2 linked regions of the Danio rerio genome follow. Each later gene encodes a partner of the first gene's protein in a complex. Links are inferred from orthologs where the notes say so. Each region holds a gene or a part of one and is shown in the gene's direction. Other genes may lie near its edges.

Region 1 (4,503 bases):
ATAAACTAAAGTGCTACCATTTTGTTTTGCCTGGACATATATATTTTTGACTCGGACTTCTTGGTTGTCAAAATGAAACTACACCAAGAAAATTGACACAAATTAACAAATATTCATTTTTAAGTTAAGTATCCAGTTAATTTAAGTGTTTCTGAATAAAAATATTTTATATAAGGTGGTATGTGGCTTGAGAATCTGTGTGGGAAGCATTTATTAATATGTTATTACAAAAATGTCATTACGCCAAACATTTTCATTTCTAAGTGAACTAACCCTTCTAATCACCCATTAGGCAGACGATCATAACCGACCCACAGCTGTGTAAATATAAAATATAAACATAAGTATTTTATTAGGTAACTTCAGCGATGGCGTTTGAACCGGTTCATAATAGTGAATCATATGAACGAACCGATTCGCTAGAATGATCGGGACCTCTCACACCCCCGTGTGCTAGGAAACAGTCGCGGTGCATGCTGGTACAACATGACTCACACGCTGATTTGCATCTGAAGCTTTCAGCGTTACTGTGTTACTAAGATAATGCTCAAATGAGAGAGGCGTCCTGTGTTTGCATTTCTGTTTTCCCCTCATGAAAATGTGTGCTTACAGTAGATCTTCATCTCTAATGGCCTTTAGCAAGATTTTCAGAGATGCAATTATGTAAGATTTGCAAAAAGCTGTGATTAATGAGTCATAAGCACTGCCTTTAATTTGGATGACGTTTAAATAGACATTGCAATGAGAACATAAAACATCTATCTATCTGTCTGTCTATCTATCTATCTATCTATCTGTCTGTCTGTCTGTCCGTCCGTCCGTCCGTCCATCCATCCATCCATCTATCATCTATCTGTCTGTCTATCTATCTATCTATCTATCTATCTATCTATCTATCTATCTATCTATCTATCTATCTGTCTGTCTGTCTGTCTGTCTGTCTGTCTCTCTGTCTATCTATCTATCTATCTATCTATCTATCTATCTATCTATCTATCTATATCTGTCTGTCTGTCTGTCTATCTATCTATCTATCTATCTATCTATCTATCTATCTATCTATCTATCTATCTATCTATCTATCTATCTATCTATCTATATCTGTCTGTCTGTCTGTCTGTCTGTCTGTCTGTCTGTCTGTCTGTCTGTCTATCTATCTATCTATCTATCTATCTATCTATCTATCTATCTATCTATCTACGTGCCTGCCTGCCTGCACATCCCTTCAGAATATTCAAAGAACTCCGTGAGTTTTTCCAGAAATTGCTCTAAGTCATTTAAAACAGGTGTGTCCCATGACAGTGAGGTTATCATGACATCAGAGCACACGTAGACATACCAGTGAGGCTTGCACGCAAAATTATCATTGAGATGTCTGAATGTAAAGCATTTTTACCGCAACCAGCCCATGTGTAATATTTATCCTGACCGCTCTATTCAAATAGTAATTATATCCTGTGCAGATGTTACTTACCTACAGGGGGCGCTTCGTGGCTCAGAAAGTTTACCTTATATATATTTTAAATAGCGTAAAGCTTATTGATTTATGGCACTGATTATTATTATTATTGTTATTATTATTAGTATTATTATTATTATTAACATGTTATTTCCTCACATTTGCCATAACGTTAGTTATATAACCATCCGTTAACAACACTGATAAACGAAGTGTGTCAAAGTAGTAACTTTCCTCGTTTGTAGTTCGTACTGAGAAAGCGTCTTCATATTAACGCTAGAATCTTTCCTATCCCAGATATTACATATTAGATAATGGAATTTAAACATAATACAGCACATGTTAGCACTTTATTTGTACATACACGTCCATTGGTAGAAAAACGGGATGTACGCTTTCTCAACCGACGCTACGACAGGTCACGTGATCCAGTTCTGTCCAATCCCCGTGGCGTCGCGGGCCGGAAATGATGGCCGGGCTTTCACACTAGTGCTTCCATTATGTTCCTGTAGCGTTAGCGAGGGCTCGAGTTTAGCTTACACACACACACACTCACACACACACACCTCGTGTAGCTGGTGGCACAGCACTGTAGCTGGGAGTGCAGCTCCGCAATCATCCCCGATACGCAATCTGGCCGCAAAGTACTAGTGTGTGACGTTGATTTGCTAGCTTTGCAAGGTAATGATTGTTTTTCTTTGACTAGCCAAGCTTGTGTTAGCCAGCACACCTGTTCTGATTTTTCATATGTACATCTCTTATTTGATACTTGAATTTTAAGAAATACGTAGCTATGTTTCAGTACAATTGCTTATGTGTCCTGTCATCTTTTTAGGTCCTCAGTAAGTATGGCCATGAGACAGACCCCTCTCACCTGCTCTGGTCACACCAGACCTGTTGTGGATCTGGCGTTCAGTGGAATAACTCCTTATGGATATTTCCTCATTAGTGCTTGTAAAGGTTTGTATGTACTTGGACTTAAAACCAACTCTTCACAGTAAACACAACCTCATTGCAGGGCATTGTTGGTTTTATAGTTGCACATTCATGCAGTGACCACTTGTGACATGCTCCCTATATTGTTCACCATGGTACTTTGAATATTCGGCTTGAAATCACATTTAATTATGACTTCAAAACAACATTATCACGTTACTTGATTGTGAACAATGTTGTGCTTTGATAGTCATTGGCTGACAATATGATTTTGCTATTTATAACTTGCTAATAATGTTTTTCTGAAATAAAATTAAGGAGAAAGTTTAAATATAAAACCATTTTTACCTACATTTGCAGGGCAGTGTGCTTAAAAAGTAAGCATTTCTTAAAATAAGTGTGTGCATATGTCATGTATCTGTCAAATAAGTTTGTTTTTGTGTTCAAATTTTGCAGATGGCAAACCTATGTTGCGCCAGGGTGACACAGGGGACTGGATTGGGACGTTCTTGGGTCACAAGGGTGCTGTCTGGGGTGCCACCTTGAATACAGAAGCTACAAAAGCAGCAACGGCCGCAGCAGATTTTACAGCGTAAGTGTTAAAGGAATAAAAGATGAACTGTTATTGTTGAAACATGAGTTTACTTTCTATATTTCTTATGAATCTGACAGGAAGGTATGGGATGCTGTCACTGGAGACGAGGTCCTCACCCTGGCGCACAAGCACATTGTGAAGTCTGTAAACTTTACACAGGTATTCCATGCTGATGTATAGAACGAGTTCTGCAAAATTGTGTAAGCCAAGAGTTATGGCAGATGAAATCTTGACTTTGTAATCTTGGAATATGATATACATTTCAAATTATATTTATGCACAACGTGGGTTTTTTAAATTATTATAATTTTATATTAGTTTTACTGTATTTTTGAATAAGTAAATGCAACTTTGGCATAACAGGCTAAATGTATTTATTTTAAACTACTTGTATGAACAAATGAATAAGTCATTAATTTATTCTAGTATCTAATTAAAACATTTTGCAACAATTTTAGTAAGATATAATACTGATCTATATTGAGATATTCAGACTATTTATGCAACACTTGGTTTATGAAATGATCTTACTTAAAATAGTTAACCTGTGGTCATTCAAAACCACGGGTTAACAGAATGCTGGCTCAATTTGCTTCATGATTCTCATAATTTACTTCGGCAATCAGTAAAGTTTCATAACTAAATGTTTCAGTTAGCTTCATTTTCAAATGTGAACCCTGACAGGAGAAACAGCATGTCACTGGGACTTTCCTTATTAAATTTAAACCACAATAGATAAAGTAATAAATAAAATGAAATAAAGTTTGGAACAATAGTAACCCATGTGTTCAATCACTCAGTACATTTACAAGGATACCAATGCAATTTTAATACGATTAAGACAATACTCTGATTAAGACTCTACCATATAAACAGAAATTTTTCATTAATTTAATCAGATTAAGGTCATAATCAAACTCTACAGAAATGTAATTAAGACGTGGCATATGCCGGTTTTAGTCACATCATTGACACTGTAAAGACATGTAAACGCAATCAAACTATTACCGTTGTGTAGGGTTTTTGCCACATTTTGCAATGGGACAGTCTATATACACACGGCTGTTTGACACTATTCTCTGCACTATCAAGTCAGTAGGACCACAGACATCTACAGTGTACATTGCGAAATGCTGAGTTTTTTTTTTAAAAAACCAATATCCAAAATCCAAAATCTCGTTTGTCATGGGGGCATGCATGAATTATTCCTGAATGAAAGTGCCAAACTGCAGTTAAAGTCAACAAAATAAAAATAAAACTCCCGAAATTACATGAAACTCCAGAGCAAATGTGGATAGCACGATGACGCAACAACGTTAATCAAACTATGTGCTATAGCATGTAAAAAGGGATCATGAAAGCAATATTCAAAAAGTAACTCATGTAAACACCTTAAACATTTTATTGTCTTATTCAGATCAAGGCAAATCATTTGATCACCGATTACTACATGTAAATGAAGTCACTTTCTGTAAACTTGCCAGAGTAATTTCATTTAGGAGTTTTTACCAGC
Region 2 (4,503 bases), on another chromosome or scaffold:
TTTATTTATTCATTTATTTTATTTTCGGCTTAGTCCCTTTATTAATCCGGAGTCGCCACAGTGGAATGAACCGCCACCTTATCCAGCACACAGTTTTATGCAGTGGATGCCCTTCCAGCCACAACCCATCTCTGGGAAACATCCACACACACTATGGACAATTTAGGCAATTCACCTGTACTACATGTCTTTGGACTGTGAGGGAAACTGAAGCACCTGGAGGAAACCCACGCGAACGCAGGGAGAACATGCAAACTCCACACAGAAACGGCAACTGATCCAGCTGAGGCTCGAACCAGCGACCTTCTTGCTGTGAGGCGACAGCACTACCTACTGCTCCACTGCGTTGCCTGTTTCAAACTTATAAGAAAAATAAATTAATTGAAGGAGAGGGTTATAGACTTTAATTTTGCCTTGTGTATGTGAAACGTCCCAAGAAAAATAATCAACTTCAAAGCATTACCGAGTGTATCATGGCCAGTTTTCAGTTTAAAAAAGAATCATGCATTCATCCAAGTTAATTATATATAATTTTATTATAAACTGAGTAAAAAATTAACCCTGAAACCAGTTTCCAAAAGTCGTCAATAAATGTACAAGCACAAAATAGATGTAGGAGACTTTCAGGTTTAAAACATTCTGATGAAATGTCTTTTTAAAATGTATTAATGAACAGATGGCAGGGATACCTGTGTAATATTTTCTTTATCTTTTTTAAATACATTTACTGTATTACAGAAAGATACATTTGGTGCACATCATTTACAATAATAATCATTAGATTATTTACAATGGTGCCAATAAAGAATGAAAAAGAAGAAAAAAGAAAGAGGAACAACCAACAGAAATCAAACAAAAAACAAAGAAATATCAATAGGCCATCTGATCTGAGGGTAGATATATAGATTTAAAAAAAATTGAAAGTGAAGAGGGCAAAATAAGAAGCAGCAATTTAGAGATTTAATTGATTATAAAGGTCGTGCAAATGGTATGCTTTGAGTACTTTCTTGTTAAGTGAATCTGGAACTGTAAGTAATTTTTAATCTCTTGTAAATGCTAGAAATGTTAGCTTGCAACTTGACATTGACAATATACATTTATGAACATAAAATCTGCATAAAGAAAAAGGTTTATTTTAAAGTAGACATTAAACTTTGTTATAAAAAACACCAAAAATGACTTTTGTAGTCACAGAAAAATGCTGTAAAGTAATATTTGGACAATTGCATGACCAAAATAAGCGAGGAGTTTCAGCGTTAATCTGACAAAAGGAGATATTTGTATCAAAGTATGATCCAAATCTTTTCTTTAAGACATTTTTGATAGGATAAATGTTATGTAATAATTTAAAAGATATTTCCTTTACCTTTTTAGTAAGGAAAAACTTGATGTATGGACCATATATTTCCCCAGTTTAAATAATCAAAAAGACCGTTTCAATGTGAGATAGCAGAAGGGGTAGAGTTTTCAAAAAACACAGCTCTTATTTGATAATTTTTCCTTTTTATTTAACCTTATTGGGGAGTAAATAAAAAATATTCTACTTGTACAATATTTCTCCACCATTTTATGTTGTTACCCTTCACATTTCTCCTAAACAACAGATGTCGCTACACATCTTTCCATCTGTAAGCGAGTGAATAAAAGAACCGTCGCGTCTATTGATCGTCATCCTCGTGTCCAATGTTTTCAAAATGGAGAGGTTGACATGCACGTAATAGTGAGCATGTTGATTTATTTTGATGGTCGTGCATAAAAAATAAGGCAAAGAGATGAAGTCAGACGCCGAGGAGTTGATGCCCAGACTCCTGCCAGTGGATTCCTGCGACACAGAGGAATATACTCTTACCGAGCCGCCTAGAAACCCTCAGGAATATCTCAGATTTGTCCAGTAAGTCTTTCGGCTATTGAGGTAAAGTTGGTTTAATATTCGCACATTCAGACATTCTCATCAATAATACAGTTTTAGAAAAGTATTATTTGCAAATTGTAAAGAAGGAGATCATATTAGCTGCCAATGACTACTAAAGTACAACATTATTCAGTCAATTAAACAGTACTTATGTTGTTAAACCCTACTGGAAAAAAAAAACAGCTTAAACCAGCCTAGGCTGGTTGGCTGGTTTTAGCTGGTTGACCAGGCTTGTTTGAGAGGGGTTATGGCCATTTGCAGGCTGGTTTCCAGTCATTTCCAGCCTGGTCTTAGCTGGGCAGGCTGGGAGATGACCAGCTAAAAACACACACACACACACACACACACACACACACACACACACACACACACACACACACACACACACTCACAGAGAGAGCGCTGTGGGGGAAATCAGAGCACCTAGAGGAAACCCACACCAACACGGGGAGAACATTAAAGCTCCACGCAGAAATGCCTTATGGCCCAGCCAGGACTCGAACCAGTGACCTTCTTGCTGTAAGGTGACAGTGGTTACCACTAAGCCACCGTGCCGCCCGTCAAGATTGTGGCTCTATGCTGGTTTCATACCTAGAACCTCATAGTTTGTTACCCAATGCTTAGCACGTTGAACTAATTGATCAAATTGGTAAAACTAGTGATCCGAAGGACAGTGGCACTAACAAAATATGATTTGGGGCTACACTTTAATGCTTTTGGCTAATAAATTACTATTACACAGAATAACTATTGTAAATATTGTTTGTAAAAAATGTTATTTTACACATTCTAATGCAACAGGAAAAACAAAACTACTTTAAAGCTGTATTAGCTTTTTCTTGTTGATGAAACTATGCTTGACTTTGACTCTTGTTCGATGAACATTATAGTAGTCAGCATTTTACAAGTGGATTGAAAACGCTTTTCGAAATTGTTCTAAGACAAGAGTGGGTGTTGTTCAATGGTTTTCGGGCAACTTTAATAAAAAGACCCTGTTTAAATATCGACTACTGTATATTTTACAGGAGGGAAGCATCTCTGTGTCCAGATGTTGTTGTGGCACAAATTGATCCAAAGAAGCTGAAGAAACAGTCAGTGAATGTGTCTGTAAGTGGGAAAAGTGAACTGAATAATCTGTTATAAATTCTGTAATGTGTAAAATAACTGTGCCATTATTTTTGCCTCAGATCACAGGTTGTCTTGCTGCACCTGAGGGTTTTTCACCCAGCTTTAAATGGCAGCAGCAACAAGTCAGCAGATTTTCAGAAGTCAGACAGGTGTTCAATATTAACCACATTAGTTTCTTTAAAGGGATAGTTCACACACAAAAAATGAATATTTACTCATTATTTATGAATGTTACTATTATTCAAGTGGTTCCAAATTTTTTCAAGTTTATTTTTTCTGTTGAGCAAATCCATTCATTCATTTTCTGCCGCTTTTCCGGGCCGGGTCGCTGGAGCAGCAGTCTTAGGAGACAACCCCAGATTTCCCTCTCCCGAGACAGTTCCTCCAGCTCCTCCGGGGGGGATCCCGAGGCGTTCCAAGGCCAGCCAAGAGACATAGTCCCTCTAGCGTGTCATGGGTCTTCCATGAGGCATCCTCCTGGTGGGACATGCCTGGAACACCTCCCTAGGTAGGCGTCCAGGAGTCATCCCAAACAGATGCCTGAACCACCTCAGCTGAGTTCTCTCGATGTGGAGGAGCAGCGGCTCTACTCAGAGCTCCTCCCGGGTGACAGAGCTCCTAACCCTATCCATAAGAGTGCGCCCTGCCACCCTTCGAAGGAAACTCATTTCGGCCACTTGTAACCGTGATCTTGTCCTTTCTGTCATGACCCAAAGCTCATGACCATAGGTGAGAGTAGGAACGTAGATTGACCGGTAAATCGAAAGCTTTGCCTTTCGGCTCAGCTCCTGTTGAGCACAAAAGAAGATATTATAAAGAATGTTAGAAACCTGACTTCCATAGTAAAAAAAAACAAATATTATGGAAGTCAATGGTTACTGCTTTCCAACATTTTTCAGAATAGATTCTTTTGTGTTTAGCAGATGAAAAAAAAAACAGGTTTTACAGGTTTTCAGCTTTGTTCAAAATAAAGGATGAGTAAATGATGACAACTTTCATTTAATATTTCATTCTGTCATCATTTACTCACCCTTTATTTTGAAGAAAGCTGAAAACCTGTAACTATTGACTTAGTAGTAGTATTTAGAATTTGTTGTTACTACAGTATTTCTTTTTCCTAATATGGAAGTCAGTGGTTACAGGTTTTCAACACTCTTCAAAATGCCTCTCAACAGAGGAAAGAAATTCATAAAGGTTGATAACCACTTGAGGGGGAGTAAATACAGAGTAAATGTTCTTTTTGGTTGAACTATCCCTTTAAGTACTTTTAGACTTTTTAGAATTTGTTTTTGTAATTTGTTTCATCCATATATTTCTTGTTTCAGAGTGTGAACAAGCATCGTCAGCATTGGAAAGCTCAGTTTTTGGATGATAATGTTGTCATGGTAGGACTTTATTTATTATTGGGCTTAAATTAAATCTGAAAAAAGCTGCTTACACTGGAGACTTCTTTTTCCTTTCAG

The links. Proteins that work in one complex are often made in the same cells at the same time.
Region 2: strap (region 1) and gemin2 share a complex: the UniProt entries of both Homo sapiens proteins name them as parts of the SMN-Sm complex. The link is inferred for Danio rerio from reciprocal best matches to the Homo sapiens genes STRAP and GEMIN2.

Annotation. Positions count from the first base shown.
Region 1 is NC_133179.1:17,468,831-17,473,333, reverse strand, and holds the start of strap (serine-threonine kinase receptor-associated protein), read left to right. Parts: upstream 1-1,950; 5' UTR 1,951-2,140; intron 2,141-2,294; 5' UTR 2,295-2,307; coding exon 2,308-2,419; intron 2,420-2,851; coding exon 2,852-2,987; intron 2,988-3,067; coding exon 3,068-3,149; intron 3,150-4,503. UniProt on the Homo sapiens protein: The SMN complex catalyzes the assembly of small nuclear ribonucleoproteins (snRNPs), the building blocks of the spliceosome, and thereby plays an important role in the splicing of cellular pre-mRNAs.
Region 2 is NC_133192.1:14,292,184-14,296,686, forward strand, and holds the start of gemin2 (gem-associated protein 2), read left to right. Parts: upstream 1-1,662; 5' UTR 1,663-1,772; coding exon 1,773-1,891; exon of another isoform or gene 1,892-1,912; intron 1,913-2,937; coding exon 2,938-3,019; intron 3,020-3,099; coding exon 3,100-3,189; intron 3,190-4,365; coding exon 4,366-4,425; intron 4,426-4,503. UniProt on the Homo sapiens protein: The SMN complex catalyzes the assembly of small nuclear ribonucleoproteins (snRNPs), the building blocks of the spliceosome, and thereby plays an important role in the splicing of cellular pre-mRNAs.